Pelodiscus sinensis: one gene and its partner. The protein of the gene in region 1 purifies or fractionates together with the protein of each later gene. This does not show direct contact. Links are inferred from orthologs where the notes say so. Each region holds a gene or a part of one and is shown on either strand. Other genes may lie near its edges.

Region 1 (7,005 bases):
GACACATCACTGAGGTTTGTGCTATTCTAGACAGTATGAGCTCTAGTTTGATGGGGAAAATAATGAAAGTATGCAAGTGCTAAAAATAGCAACCATGGCCTGAAAAATACAAGGCACTTTAAAAGGAAAGGCAAATCGAAGCTAGGCACAAAATTACACACTTTTTTCAACACATAACCCTTTCTCCCCCCAAAAAATAGTAGAAAGAGGGTCTGATACAGCAGCCCTTCCTTTCAATTATAGAAGTGCCTTTTTATAATGTGAAAGGTGACCTTTCATCTGAGATCACCCAAATCATCTGTTCAATATATGATTTTCTATTTAACAATGTAACAGGGTGTACCAACCCCGCACTGGGCCTGAAAGAGTTAACCAGAGCTACCTAACAGAGAGCCTCACCCCCACAGCCCTGCTGGGAATGCACCAGCTGGAGGACAGGTATAAATGCCAGTGGAGCAGCTCAGTCAGAGCTGGCTGCTGTAGAGGAAGAAGCTCCTGCCAGAGTTCTGCAGGAAGAGCTATGGTGGGACCAAACCATGGAGGCCAATCAGGGGAGAATAGCTGGAGAAGAAGCCTATGGTCATGAATAAGGTAGGAAGTAGACCAGGGCAGGGAAGAGCTCAGCATGTTTTGGGTGGATTCCCTGCTGAGCTAGTGATGGGACATGCTCACCACTGACAGGCCCCTGGACTTGGACCTGGTGGAAAAGGTGGGCCTGGTGATTATTGCATCTGGCTGCTAGGCCTTATTGCCCTGAGACCAGAAAATGGTGATTATGGACTCGGACCACTAGGCCTCACTGCCCTGAGGGAAGGAAGCGGGAAACAGATGTTGGCTGCTCGGTCTCATTACCACATGAACAGGGTGGGCTGCTATTGATTCTGGCCCCATTGCCTTCAGGGAAGAGAGTGAGAACTGACTCTGGACATTAAGCCCCACTGCCCTGAAGGAAGAGGGTGGGGATTCCCACTGGCTACTAGGCCTTGTCACCTGGAGGAAAGGGGGGCAATTACTGACTGTCAGAGCTCACTGCCCTTGCAGAAGGGGCTGTTTCACTGACTGACTGCTAAGCAAGACTGTTGCATTGGAAAAAAGGGTGTAGTCAGAGGACCTGGGCCCTAGAGACACTCATAGGGTGGAGCACACTTTTTGAAAGGTCTAAAGCCCTGCCACAGAGGGGACTGGGAGTACCCACTCCATGACAAACAATGCAATAGTGCCATCAATGACCATTCTAACGATTACATATTACTCCACTTGTTCTGTTAAACTGTTCAGTAGGCAGTCCTAGAAGGGATTAGCAGAAATCCTGATTGGGCCACAGTGGCTGTGGTGGGAGCATGAAGAACCCTAACACACTGCAGCAACCCCAGATTCTGGTCCCAGCTGCACTACTGCAACCCCAGGCCGACACAGCAGCAACCCTGGAATCCAGACCCTGGCCCATGGTGCACTGGACCCACATTGGCTCTTGACATGCCTGCCCGCAGCGTGGTAATGACCCCCCCACATACAGTTGCCCTGTCCCCACCAACAGTTAACTGGTGGTCACAGTCTAAACAATTACAATTATACCATTTAACTGGTTAACAGTTTTGATAAAGTTTCACATCGCTACTGCACACTGTAAGTATGAAAAAATAAGAAAATTCCCTGAGTATATGAAAATTAGATAAAGACATTATTGAACTCTGTCAGAGTACAGGCAATACGGGGAGGGCTCTTCTGCTGTGTTTAATAGGCCAGAAGTCCAAACTTTTTCAGTAGGTCTAATCGTACAGACCATGTAACTGATGGAATTTCCATCAGGCCTTGTGGGCACCAGCCTATCTACCCACACTCCCTACCAGAGTTTAAATGGTAATAGGAACAAAGCATCAGCTAACAGGTTAACTGGTTAACCATTTAAACTCCTACATCCCTAAGTCAAATGGAATATTGGTTTACATGTATTAACAAACCAGAGCTGTTGACAATTATTTTATTCTGTTAGAAAAGAGTGTTATAGAAACTAATTGCTAAAATTACTGTAAAACAGAAGTGTGTGTGTGTGTGTGGTGGGGGGTGTTTGTTTACTCTAGAACTCCTAGAGTAAACTCTAGAGGCAGGTTTCCTGTTTGCATCCATTTTTCAAACACTAGTCAGGGAGTGAAACCGTTAGGTTATCAAATGTAATTGCAAGACCTTAAGTGCACAAACGGCTATTTTAAGTGTATGTCGTGCTTACTTTGATCTCTTAGAAAATTAATCTCCGCTGCCATATTTTAACCTGCTTGTGCAGTCCAATGTTGGTAATGAAGAGCTTCAGTACACTGCTGTTTTTTCCTGCCCTGCTGCAGAGCCTGCAAGAAACAAGCCAAACCAGTTTATTATAAGTTTAAATGAGCTGCTTTCTGCGCGAGCCGCATTTTATCCAAGTCTGGTAACAGCCTCCGCTAGCGACGGGGAAAGAGCAGCGGAAACAGCGTTTAGCCCGTCACACCAATCACCCCCCCCGTAGTGCAGCTGCTACAGACTCATCGGCTCCACGGCGACCCAGCAGCTCGCGCTCTGCCCAGGTGTCTCCCCGCCCTAACCCCGCCCACCACGAAGCGTCCCGTGTTGCTACCCCGAGGACAGGCTCGTGCCCAGCAGGCTCTCAGGAAAGGGGGCATCTTCTATGGCCCCGCGCGCCCTGCCGCCAGCGCATCCCGGGCCGTCGCCGAGAGGGCAACGGCGCCCAGCGGCTGGGGCCGTGCACAGGACGCCGCCGCTCCCAGGCAAACCGCCCCGTTCTCCAGACGAGCGGCTCGGCGGCGGCAAGACCCGGGGGGGAGGGGAGGAATGACCGTTGCGCAGCGACTTGCCCTGTGACCAACCCCCTTTCCGAGCCAGGGGTCCTGCCGCCAGCGCCTACCTGCCCAACGGCTCCCTCCAACCGCGCGCGTGCACCCCCGGACACCCGCAGCACTTCCACCAACTGCCCGAGCAGCCGACCCAGCGCGGAACTGTGTAGCTCACGTGACAGCCACCGATCTACCAATTGGAATCCGAGATAAGTGGCAAGCGGTGTCTGATTGGTCCTTATCTTAATTTCCGCATGACGATGAGGATCTGCCTGGGTCTGTCTCGCGGGGCAAGGACGGGCCAGAGAACTGGCCGAAGGGTTGCGGGCGGAGGCGCGCGCGCGGTAGGTAGAATCGCTCCATTTAGGGAACCAGCAGCAACTGCCGCTCTAGCTTGCGCGGGCACGTGGGGGGAGACAAGCAGGAGCCGGTTCCCCTCAAGCAGGGGCGATTGCTGAGAAGGGGCGTGTAGGGTACCGGGCACGTGGCTGCTCTCCAGCACCACCTCTCCGTAGCTAGGCACAACAAGCCGCCCCTCCGCCCCAGCCCCTTGACCCGGCTCTTCCCCGCACACTGGTGCCGTTGTCAAGTCTGCAGCTAGGCACCACTGGCTGGCCCATCCCAGCTACTGGCTTGCAGGGCTCAGAGTAACGCGCTGGTTAACTGCCCTCTAGACGGTTGGGCCGTGGCTGAAGTTTGGGCTCCTTGCAAGGTCAGCAGGTCCCAGAGATCAGGCTCCAGCTGGAGCCCAGAAATCACGGTCTTGAAAGAGCCCTGCTACCTAAGCCCTGTGAGCTTCAGTTGGCTGGCACAGACCACCCACGTGTCTAGCTGTTGTGTAGACATACCTGTAACACACCGTCTATTAATGCTGCCAGTTATTCCATCCATTCAAGTGGCAGAGATCTGTGCAGTTGAGCCAAGCCGTCTGGCTCCTGTGGGTATCAGTATGATGCAACACAATGGGGTTTTTTTTCAGTTTATTTTAAGCCTAGGAAAGTACTTTGCACAGAAGTAGTGGAAAGAATGTTATTAGGATTCAGGATGTTACATTGCATCAACTACATGATTAGTCAACAAGGAGCACTCTGCAGAGCCGCATCCGCATCCGGTGTGGCTCCAGGAGTCAGCTGGAGTCGGGGCTGAGCAGTGCTGTCTGCAGGAGACACCCTTGCTGTGGCTCTGCATTTTAAATGTAGTAAGAGCTACTGGGCTCTTAATACACATAAAATGCAGAGATGTAACATCCCAGACTAGCGTGAGCACCAGTCCCTGCCCACCGGAGGGGGGGGCCCAGCTCCCCGCTGAGACCTCTCTTTGTAGCAACCTCCCCTATCCTCTCCCCCAGATGGGGAAACAAGCAGCATTGCAGAGACAGTGCAGGGGGGAAACTGGCTTTTAAGCTGGCTCCCACCAGCACCAACTCCTGTTTGCCCCCTTTCTATCCTTCTACCTCTCATAGAGGCAGTGATGGGGGGAAGGGAGGGGGACACGAGTAGTAGATACTCCACTCAAATACCAATGAGCTTGTGCTTATTGGATAGTTGACTAGTCCAGCGATTCCCAGTTGGTGATGGTCCTCGAACTGCTGACTGCGGATAGCAAGGTGAAGTCAGGTGTTCACAGCCACTGGGGGGCATTGCTAGGGTACATCCCAGTCCCCTGAGCCACCACACAGTAGCCAGCTTCCAGGGTGCTGCAGCCTCACTCTCCTGCCTCGTGCACACACATGCTTCTTCCCCCATGCAGTTGGCATACCAGCATTGCCTTCCCACTGTGGATGGGAGAGGGGAGAGAAAGCTCTGAGTCTTGCTCCACAATCCAACTTGCAGGAAAGAAGCACTGCCCTTTCCCTCTCCTGCCTGGGGGAACAGCAGCGTGCAGGCAGCGCTTCTTCCCCATGAGCCAGATCGTGGTGCAAGGCTTGGGGCTTTGTCTCCCCCTGCCCCACAGCGGGAAGTCAGCACTGGTGCTCCAACCATGTGAGGGGGAGGGAGGACAGAGGCTCCTGATGTCACTGAGGTTTGAAGGTCCCTAATCTAGCTGCTTATGCAGCTGCTTCATTAACCAGGGTTTGAGGAGTTTCTGATCATCTTAACTCCCTAGTCTGTGCTTGAGTTCCCTGTATGTCAAAATGGGGTCACAGCGCTTCTTCCTAGGTGTGGTATGAGGACAGGCAGACTGGAAAAGATATAAGGACCTAACAGGGCACAAGCAGGGCTGGACCGAGCCATTCCAGCGCCCCGGGCAGACAGTTTAATTGCGCCCCGGGTTGGGGAAGGGCGCATGCGTGGCCCTGCCCCGGTGTCGGCGTGTGGGGGAGGGCAGGCGGAGCTGGCGGCAGCAGGACGCATAGGCCCAGCCCGGCTACCGCCGCTGGCGCACAGCCCGGGGCCACCCGGTGCAGACTGAGCCTGGCCGTGCAGGGGCCCCATTACCTCGGGGGGAAGGGTGCTGCTGTCTGGTGCTGCGGTGGTTAATGCAGCTCCCGCTCTGGGCGGCCGCTGCAGGGTAGCTGCTGGGAGCTGCTGCATCCAGCGATCCAGGAGCTGGGCGTGCGGTGCCTGATGGCAGCTATAAGGGGTGCTGTGCGCCTCTTACAGCTGCCATCAGGCACCCCCCCATAGGTTGGCACCCCGGGCAGCTGCCTGGCTAGCCCATGCCTTAATGCATGAGAAAGTTAAAGCACTTACATTAATATTGCCTTTTTTACTGGTTAAATTAAAAAGTTCTCCCTTGCTGCAGCACTAGCAAAGTGACTTGGGCTTAATTATGTAACTAACAGCAAGTTTCTATTAGCAATTGGTGGTCCACAGAAAGGTTTGTGTTGAGCCAGGTAGGGGCCCTGGGCCAAAAAATCTGAAGCATAAGGTATTGGGTGGTACTGGGCAGAGAGGCAATGTGGTAGGCACACTGACAACACAGGGCTGGAGCTGGGGGTGTAGGTGGGAGGAAAATGCAGGGGTTGGGATGACAACGGCATTGTAGAGAGGTTGGGATGAAGGTGACGCAGCTGGAGTTGGGGCACAGTGTTGGAGTTAATTGCAAAGGGGGCACAGGGTGGGGAGCCAGGGATGGGGGAGCCCATGGCCACCAAAGAAAATAGGAGGGCACCATGCCTGGGGTTGGGGAGGCAGGGGCACCACAATACAAGTTCACCCAGAGTGCCATTTTCCCTAAGGCTGGCTCTAGCTGGGGTACATATTTTGGTGGATGAGTAACACTTTCTTTGCATATTCATTATGCAAATAATAATTATGTAAATATTATCGGTTCACCAAACATTTGTGAATGGGTTTGCTGGTCCACTGCATAAAAAAGGTTGGGAACCACTGGACTAGTCGACTCCCCGCAAACATCTCTAAATAGCATTGCAAGGTCCAGCACTCAGAAGTCAAATGCCAGAATTACAGTTTTGTGTTAACATTAATTTTATCCATTTCTGTGTGCATACTGTTTTTTCCTGTATTTTTATCCTTGTTGGGAATTCCTGAAATAAGCCAGAAATGTTTATTGGTCTCTGTTAAAGCTTTTGTTCTATTTAAAAATTGTGTGGTATAGAACTCACTTCTCTGTAGTGTTACAAGGGAAGTGTGTAGAGAAGCCAATAATAGAAACATACCATTACCAGTAAATTCTGGCTCCACAATTTATGCTTACAGCTCTTTGAATGTATATGAATCAAACACTACTAATAGTTTTACATTGCTAGCTTGAGGCTATGCTATCCAAGTTTTTTCACAGTGTTATGAAAGTTCCTTTTGTTTTAGAGTCTGCATATCTTAATTTGAGTATTTTAGAGTTTTCTTACAGCAAATGCTCAAGCATAGGATTATTGAGGTAGTACATTTTTTTGTACTCTGTCAATATTTAACACAGTTTTTAAGCAACAGCCTATGTAGATCTAGATATTGATATTTTCTATTTTAAGAATAGAATTGTGATCAGCTTCTCTCTCTTATAGTGTATGCTGGTTCACACATTAAGGCTTGATCATGCAATCCTTATACAGAGAAATCTGTGGACTTCAAGAAGAAATATGCGTAACAGGGTTTCAGGTCAGGCAGTTAATATGTTATTACAAACACCTTTATTGTACTATTCAAACCTGGAGTATGAATTTCTGAAACTTGCATGTATGCACAGGCAAAATTCTGCATTCCTGTACAGAAGGACAGAC
Region 2 (7,698 bases), on another chromosome or scaffold:
GTGGGACTCTGTGCCCTCAAGGGACCTTTTTATTTCAGACTCAGGCTAGGCTATGGCAGGAAGACCTCTCCAGCCCCGCTGCTGTGGAGTAGCCCCCACGTCAGTCTGTTAACTGGTTAAACATCAAAAACTCCTTCTTGTGTCAGGACCCCTACAATTACAACACTGTGGAATTTCTGATTTACATAACTGAAAACATGCCATTTATAATTTTAAAAATCCTATGACTGTGACATTGACTGAAATGGACCGTGAATTTGGTAAGACCCTAATTATGTACCTTCAAGGTGTAACATGCTGTGCACCCAGAAACAGAGGCCACCTAAAATCACTAATCTTTTTAAAATGTAACCTTTTAATTATAATTACTTTGTTAAAGAAGCATGCATAAGGGCCAAGTCAAAGTGCTGCCTGCTCCACTTGAAAAGCTCCAAATAAAAGCAACAGATCAAAAGTTATTATAGACATTATTCATAATCCCACCCTACACATCACAAAAGTGAGGTGTTAAAGAAGCTAAATAATTAAGAAGTTTAACAACACACACACACACACTTCACCTACAAACAGCAACATATAACTACCTGAAATAAAATAATAAAACAAAAGGAAGTGGCAGACGTATCATCCTTTGAGTCATTTAAAGCAACTTACATAACTTAGACTAAATACAGTTCTGTTTAAAAAAAAGTTTTAAATATCCCTAATAACAGGAATTGATTAGTGACACTCCCCCTACCCATTTTTCAGCTGAGGACATTTTACGTTTGCATTTAGAAGTTCTCCTGTTGTGTGGGCAACAAACACTGTGCTAAAGTTTACCAAATGTGGCAGCATTACTTAGAGCAGTTGCTTTCAGATCTTTTTGGAATGCTCTCACTAACTCACAGACTTTTTCTTAGGTCCTGGCTCTGAAACTTGCTTGATGTTCATAGAGCCTTGCAAATCCTTGGATATCCCCTTTATATCTGCAAGTATCCACATATGAGGTTGTGGATGTGGATATATGCTCAGTTCATTTTTGCTGATATAGATGTAGATACAAAATGTTCTATCCATACAGGGCTCTATTCATAGACAGACCCCTGTGTCTATGCTGTATCCTACTGACTTGAGTGAGGCTCCACACTGGTATTTTATTCAAGTAAAGTGATAAGCAACCAATATTCTGGCATGTTAACTTATCTTACAGAAAGAGGCAAATTCCCAGAACTGGAACATGGCTGTGGGATCCACCACACAGAACAAGCTACCTAATAGGAGCCAAAGACAACACCCTCCTGAACTCTCATTCCCAATTCTCCATCCTCCCAGGAATAACCACAGTCCTTGGTTATATAAAGACATAACATTGGGACAGTATTAAGATAACACAAACATAAAGTGGCTTTAGTGCATCTGAGGCCAATGACTTGGTTATGATCTATTTAGTTGCATTGTTGTTACTTTCCACTCTGCACTTCCTATTTATTAGGGCCAGCTTGGGAGTGAAAGGAGCCTGTAGAAGGAGGAATCAGAAGGAGATAGGAGCTAGAAGCCTACAAGAGTGTGTGAACTTAAGTAAACTGACAAAGGGAGGCTGGAGGCGGGGGACAAACAAAACGGACTGGAACTGGGCTGGAAGGGACAGAGTAGAGAGGTGAGCAATTGAGGAGGAAAGAGGAACAGACAGATGGGAGTCAGGGGGAAGGAAGGACAGACGGGGGGGGGGGTTCAGGACAGACGGGGAGCACAGGATGGGAAGACAGGGGCCGGGGGAAGGACGGGCAGACAGGGGGAGAGACTCAGAACAGGCAGCCAAGGGGCCGGGGGCCGCAGGACAGACAGGGGACGGGCGGACAGACAGACACGGGGGCAGAGAAAGGACGGACAGACGAGGCGGGGGGGGACAGACAGGGGACGAGGCGGGGGCGGATTGCGGAGGGGGCCGGGGGCCGGACGGGGGGGGGCTCAGGACGGACGGGGGGGGACCGGGGGCCGGGCAGACGAGGGGGGGGGACGGACATGGGGGGGTCGCGGAGGGGGCCAGGCAGACGGGGGGGGGTCGCGGAGGGAGCCGGGGCCGGGCAGATGAGGGGGGGACGGACACGGGGGGGTCGCGGAGGGGGCCGGGCAGACGGGGGGGGGACGGACACGGGGGGGTCGCGGAGGGGGCCGGGCAGACGAGGGGGGACGGACACGGGGGGGTCGCGGAGGGGGCCGGGCAGACGGGGGGGGGACGGACACGGGGGGGTCGCGGAGGGGGCCGGGCAGACGAGGGGGGACGGACACGGAGAGGTCGCGGGGGGGGCCGGGCAGACGGGGGGGGGACGGACACGGGGGGGTCGCGGAGGGGGCCGGGCAGACGAGGGGGGGACGGACACGGGGGGGTCGCGGAGGGGGCCGGGCAGACGAGGGGGGGACGGACACGGGGGGGTCGCGGAGGGGGCCAGGCAGACGGGGGGGGGGTCGCGGAGGGAGCCGGGGCCGGGCAGATGAGGGGGGGACGGACACGGGGGGGTCGCGGAGGGGGCCGGGCAGACGGGGGGGGACGGACACGGGGGGGTCGCGGAGGGGGCCGGGCAGACGGGGGGGGACGGACACGGGGGGGTCGCGGAGGGGGCCGGGCAGACGAGGGGGGGACGGACACGGGGGGGTCGCGGAGGGGGCCGGGCAGACGGGGGGGGACGGACACGGGGGGGTCGCGGAGGGGGCCGGGCAGACGAGGGGGGGACGGACACGGGGGGGTCGCGGGGGGGGCCGGGCAGACGGGGGGGGGCGGACACGGGGGGGTCGCGGAGGGGGCCGGGCAGACGGGGGGGGGGCCGAGGGGCCGCGGACTCGCTAGGCCTGGGCCGGGGCCCTCACCTGTCCCGGAGCCGCAGCTGGAGGCTGCCCAGGGTCGCGGCGGGCTGAGGGCGCCGGGCTCCCCCCGCGGCGCCGGGCCCGGGCGCCCCGCACATGCCGCGCTGTTTACACCGGTGTCCTAAGCGACGGCTCCCACCATGCACCGCGCCCGAGCGGACCCGGAAGCGCTGGGCAGGAGGCGGGGCCTCGCGCGTAGGCCCGCCAGGGAGGGGGGCGCGCGGCCCAAGCCCCGCCCCCTGCTGGCGGCGGCGGGGAGCTCACCCCAAACCCCGCCCCTCACTTGGGCCATAAGCCCCGCCCCCTGCTGCTGGCCAGGGGGCGGGGCCCGGTCCCCAGACAGGCCTTAGTGAGCTGGCACCAGGCGCTGGCCTGAGCCCTCCCTGGCCCTGGCTTGTAGCTGCTGGAGGAAAGGCAGGGACCCCCCCATGCGCTTCCTCCCAGCCCAGCGCTGTGGCCCCCGGCCCGGCCCGGTTCCTGGTCCCCGCCGTGGGACTGCAAACCAGAATCTCGGCGTCCCTTAACAAATAAACCAGTCTGCTTCCAAAAGCTGGGCCATGTGACAGGCGCGGGTCACACGCAGTAACCTTTGCAGGAGTCTGCAGACAGCTTGGTAGCCAAGCGCAGAGAGGGTGACCTGCCCACTCGCCATTAGTCAGTGCTCTGTGTGCCCCTGCCTTCCCCACAACTCCCAATTGATTGGCTCAGATTACGCTGTGCGCCCTGTAGGTACTATTCCAAGAAACCCACACTCAAGGCCTCAAAGAGTGCAAGCTGGAATCCAGCTCCCAGTCAATCAAATGAGGAAACAGAGCATAGACAGCAGATTCAGCAGGCCAACAGCTTATTGTTGAGTGTTTTGTAAGCGTCACAACAGAGTTTTAAGGGGGGCACTGAAGAGGACTGCATAAAAGATGTATGTATAATTGCAGGAAGCATCTCCAATATGTAAATATCTAAATGCAATGTAAAGCACTATAATGCTTACACAAAACCTCCTCTCTCTACCGCCTTTCTTGCTGATCAATATGGTCTCCTTTTAGTCTCATGTCTGTTGTTTCTTGTGCTCAATTGTAAGCTCCTGGGGGCAGAGACGTCCTTGTTTTGTGTTTGTGCATCAGCTAGCACAATGAGGCACTGGACTACAGTAACTGAAATAATAATAATAAAAACCCCAAGGTGACTGTGAGAAAACAAAGCTTGACATTTTCTTTTCATTTTAATTTTGTAACTTACCTTGATCGGTCTGTTTTCACTTGCAACCACTTAAAACCTGCTGCTTGTACTTAACAAAAACACTTTTGTTTGCTATCAAGGCCAGTATAAATAATTGTTACCTGGGGGAAACAAGCAGTGTGCATATTCCTTTTTCTTGATAAAGGGAGCTTGCCTGAACGAGCTTTCACTGTGGAAAACTTTTACACAGAGAAAGACGGATTTATTTGGGGGTTTGATCCCTTTGTAGGTTGGTTTCTTGGGTGCTCTGCCCTAAAATTGCTTTCTCTCAGAGATGAAGTAGTTCAGTGTCTGCATTCCTTTTCAGGGGGGCAGTAACCCCAACTCTGCCTTATCTAGGAGAGGCCAGAGGATCTGGCCCAGTAGGATAGGGTGGTGGGAAGCCCCAGAAAGCAAGAAGGCAGAGGTTGGTGGCATGATCAGCACACCAGGGAACAATCCCATGGAGTCTCTTGTGACAACACCCTGTCACATGAGGCTAATTCCATAAGTAGTTGTGGGGTGTTCAGATACTATGGTTAAAAAAAAGTCCAGTCTCTAAATCAGTGGTACTCAAACCTGTAACAGAAGGAATGCTACGCTAAGTAGAGGTGCAGACAGCTCCAAAAGGATTAAATGTATTTAGAACAGAAAAGTGATCAGTACACATTTATAATAAAATGATTAACAAAATCACATTCTCTATTAGAATAACTTTCCTAAACCATCAATATTTACTTACATTAGTTGCTTATGAACAGAGACAGTGTGTGTCGCTGCGATGGGGCATATCAACCCCTCACTGGTGCAGCAAGAGTTAATCCTGCTCACCTAGGCTATGTCTAGACTGAAGGCTTCTTACGGAAGAAGCTTTTCCAGAAGAGATCTTCCAAAAAAACTTCTTCCGAAAGACCGTGTCCACACTGCCAAAGCACATCAAAAAAGTGATCTGCTTTTTCGAAAGAGCGTCCAGACTGAATGTATTTAAACTGCGATTACTATGGACGGAGCGGCCACCAGGGCAACTGTGCATTTTCCTCTTTCCTCTTCTTTCACAAGAACTCCCTCTTCCCCAGCCACACATGCCTTTTTGTGAAAGCTCTTCTGAAAAAGGGCTTCTTCCTCGTAGAAAGAGGATTGCCAGTGCTGGGAAAACCCCTCTGTTCTTTCAATTTTCTTTTGAAAGAGTGTGGACACAATTGAAGTTTTTTTCGGAAAAACAGTCGTTTTTCCGGAAAAAAAACCTCTGTAGTGTACACATACCCTGCCCCCTAGCTCTGCTGAACATGCTACAGGTGGAGGCCAGGTATGAAGGCCTGCCAAGCAGCGCAGTCTGGGCTGACTACTCATGAGGGAAGGAAGTGTTGGGCTAGTTCCTGAGGAAGGACTGCTTGTGCAGCAGGATGTTGACACTGCTGAGAGGGGAGGGATGGAAAACCCAGAAACGTGGAAGGAAGCGATCTAGAGGAGTTTTGTGAGACATGGTAGCCATATCAGAGCAGCTTACTGTGTTTTAATGGGAGCCCTGCTGTGCTAGTGGTGGGCAAATCTGCCACCAACAGGTCCCTGAGTTGGGACTGGGTGAAGAGGGTGGGGCTGAGTCCCCTTAACCCTGACTACTACCCCCTCCTGAGGTGATTACCCTGCACCCCTTCTTATCAACTGCTACCTTGTGCTGCCCTGTGACTGAAGGGCTTTGCTACTGACTCTGGGGGTGTGTCTAAACTACATGGCTCCATCGATGGAGCCATGTAGATTAGCCTGATCGGCAAAGGGAAATGAAGCCGCGATTTAAATAATCGCGGCTTCATTTAAATTTAAATGGCTGCCGCGCTGAGCCAACAAACAGCTGATTAGCTGTTTGTCGGCTCAGCGCGCTAGTCTGGACGCTCCTGCACCGACCTGAAAGCCCTTTATCGACCTCCCCATTATACCTCGTAGGATGAGGTTTACCGGGGAGGTCGATAAAGGGCTTTCATGTTGGCAGGGGAGTGTCCAGACTGCCCCAACCTGCTGACAAACAGCTGATCGGCAGAGCAGGGCAGCCATTTAAATTTAAATGAAGCCGCGATTATTTAAATCGCGGCTTCATTTCCCTTTGCCGAACAAACAAATCTACATGGCTTGGTCGACGGAGCCAGGTAGTCTAGACGTACCCTGGTTGTCCAGCTATGTTGTCCTGGTAGCTGGAACTACAGCGGAAGACTCAAATTGTTGAGCCCAACGATGAGGCTGTGGAGTACCCAACCCACACCCTGAGAGTGATGTGTATCTTGATCCCGTGGCAGCACGTCACATATATTCTACATCACATTTCCCTGCCCCCAGGGCAATAACCACAGGCAGGCCGGGCATCACTCAAATTTGTGAAAAGAGCCACGTTCTAGATTCTAGAGACACGTATATCTCAAAAGCCGCAGGTTGAGTCCCCCAGTTCTAACAGTAACCAACCCCTTCTGCAATTCCAGGTTCTTCTGCCAGGTTTTAATGTTCTATAGCACTGCTAATGACTCTCCACACGTCTCAGTTTCAAATTTGGATAACACGTTTCAAAAAGCATTGCTGGATAGATGCAGTTGTACTTAACAGTCCCTAAATTAACTGCCATCACTTGAATACCCGTAGCTGCTGCCTGGCTTAGTCCTCACAGATCCACTATAAATAAATGGCTCTCATAAAGATATGGGAGGTTTTAGCTTGTGAAAAAGCTTACACACTCAATAAGACACATATGCAAAGGATTTGCAGATTTGGGAGCCTTTTATTATTGCATTCACCCAACGTGTGATTAAACGGAAAACCCTGCTGTTCTATTTTCTTTCTATTGAAAGCACAAAAATGCTAGTCAGACTTCTGGTGCAGGGTTGATTTCATACCTATCAACCACCAGAAAGACAATTTTGCCACTGATCCCGATCTCTATCAGATACTGAACAAAACCCTGGATCGGAATATGCCTGAAATGTAGGAGATTTGGAACCTGAAATCGGGATCCACGCTGTATAAGTCAGGTCCATTAAAAACCTGCAGGGGGGAAAAAGGAAGATATTCAGAATATATCCGGCTGCTTTGAAATAATGAAATGAGTGCTGTAATGTATGGCCTGATCCTGAACCATCAATGTCTATGGAACTTTGTCATTGATTTCAGTGGATCCAGGATCACAGTGTCGTCGTCCCCTCCCCTGCTCCTGCCATCCCAACCCCACAGTGTTTCCGATGCACAATTTTCCTCACAGGTCTTGCTATATGTTGTGTTTTTCTTAAAGCCACTGGAGTCAAGAGGCTTAGACTTTGACTATCAGCTTTCATTTAATTAAGTAAATGTCTAACCTTCCTGATTGTGCAGAAAAAGTTGAAAACGTGACTCTATCTAGGGTTCCCTAAAGGTTCAAACCCCAGAAGGCAAATAAAAAGCCAAAATGTATTCTTGGCTTAAAAACATCAGGAGACTTACAACTGTCTTTGTTTTGGGAGGCTTGACTCGTGAGTTTTGCATGCTTGCGTTTGCCAGCACTACCCACAGGGTGGACCACACCGAAAAGTTCGGCAGCGCCTAACCATAACCACTTTCCCAGCGGCACTAGAAGGAGCAATAGACGGAAACCGAGACACCCCTCATAAGCTTTCCTCTTGTCTC

The links. Proteins that work in one complex are often made in the same cells at the same time.
Region 2: the proteins of SCLT1 (region 1) and KIZ purify together in Homo sapiens (co-immunoprecipitation; 3 studies listed by BioGRID and IntAct, counting the BioPlex papers as one, with this or other methods). This does not show direct contact. The link is inferred for Pelodiscus sinensis from reciprocal best matches to the Homo sapiens genes SCLT1 and KIZ.

Annotation. Positions count from the first base shown.
Region 1 is NC_134715.1:50,627,249-50,634,253, reverse strand, and holds the start of SCLT1 (sodium channel and clathrin linker 1), read right to left. Parts: upstream 3,011-7,005; 5' UTR 2,897-3,010; intron 2,828-2,896; exon of another isoform or gene 2,609-2,827; intron 2,343-2,608; 5' UTR 2,262-2,342; coding exon 2,228-2,261; intron 592-2,227; exon of another isoform or gene 461-591; intron 1-460. UniProt on the Homo sapiens protein: Adapter protein that links SCN10A to clathrin. Regulates SCN10A channel activity, possibly by promoting channel internalization.
Region 2 is NC_134713.1:195,717,472-195,725,169, reverse strand, and holds the start of KIZ (centrosomal protein kizuna), read right to left. Parts: upstream 3,020-7,698; 5' UTR 2,943-3,019; coding exon 2,848-2,942; intron 1-2,847. UniProt on the Homo sapiens protein: Centrosomal protein required for establishing a robust mitotic centrosome architecture that can endure the forces that converge on the centrosomes during spindle formation. Required for stabilizing the expanded pericentriolar material around the centriole.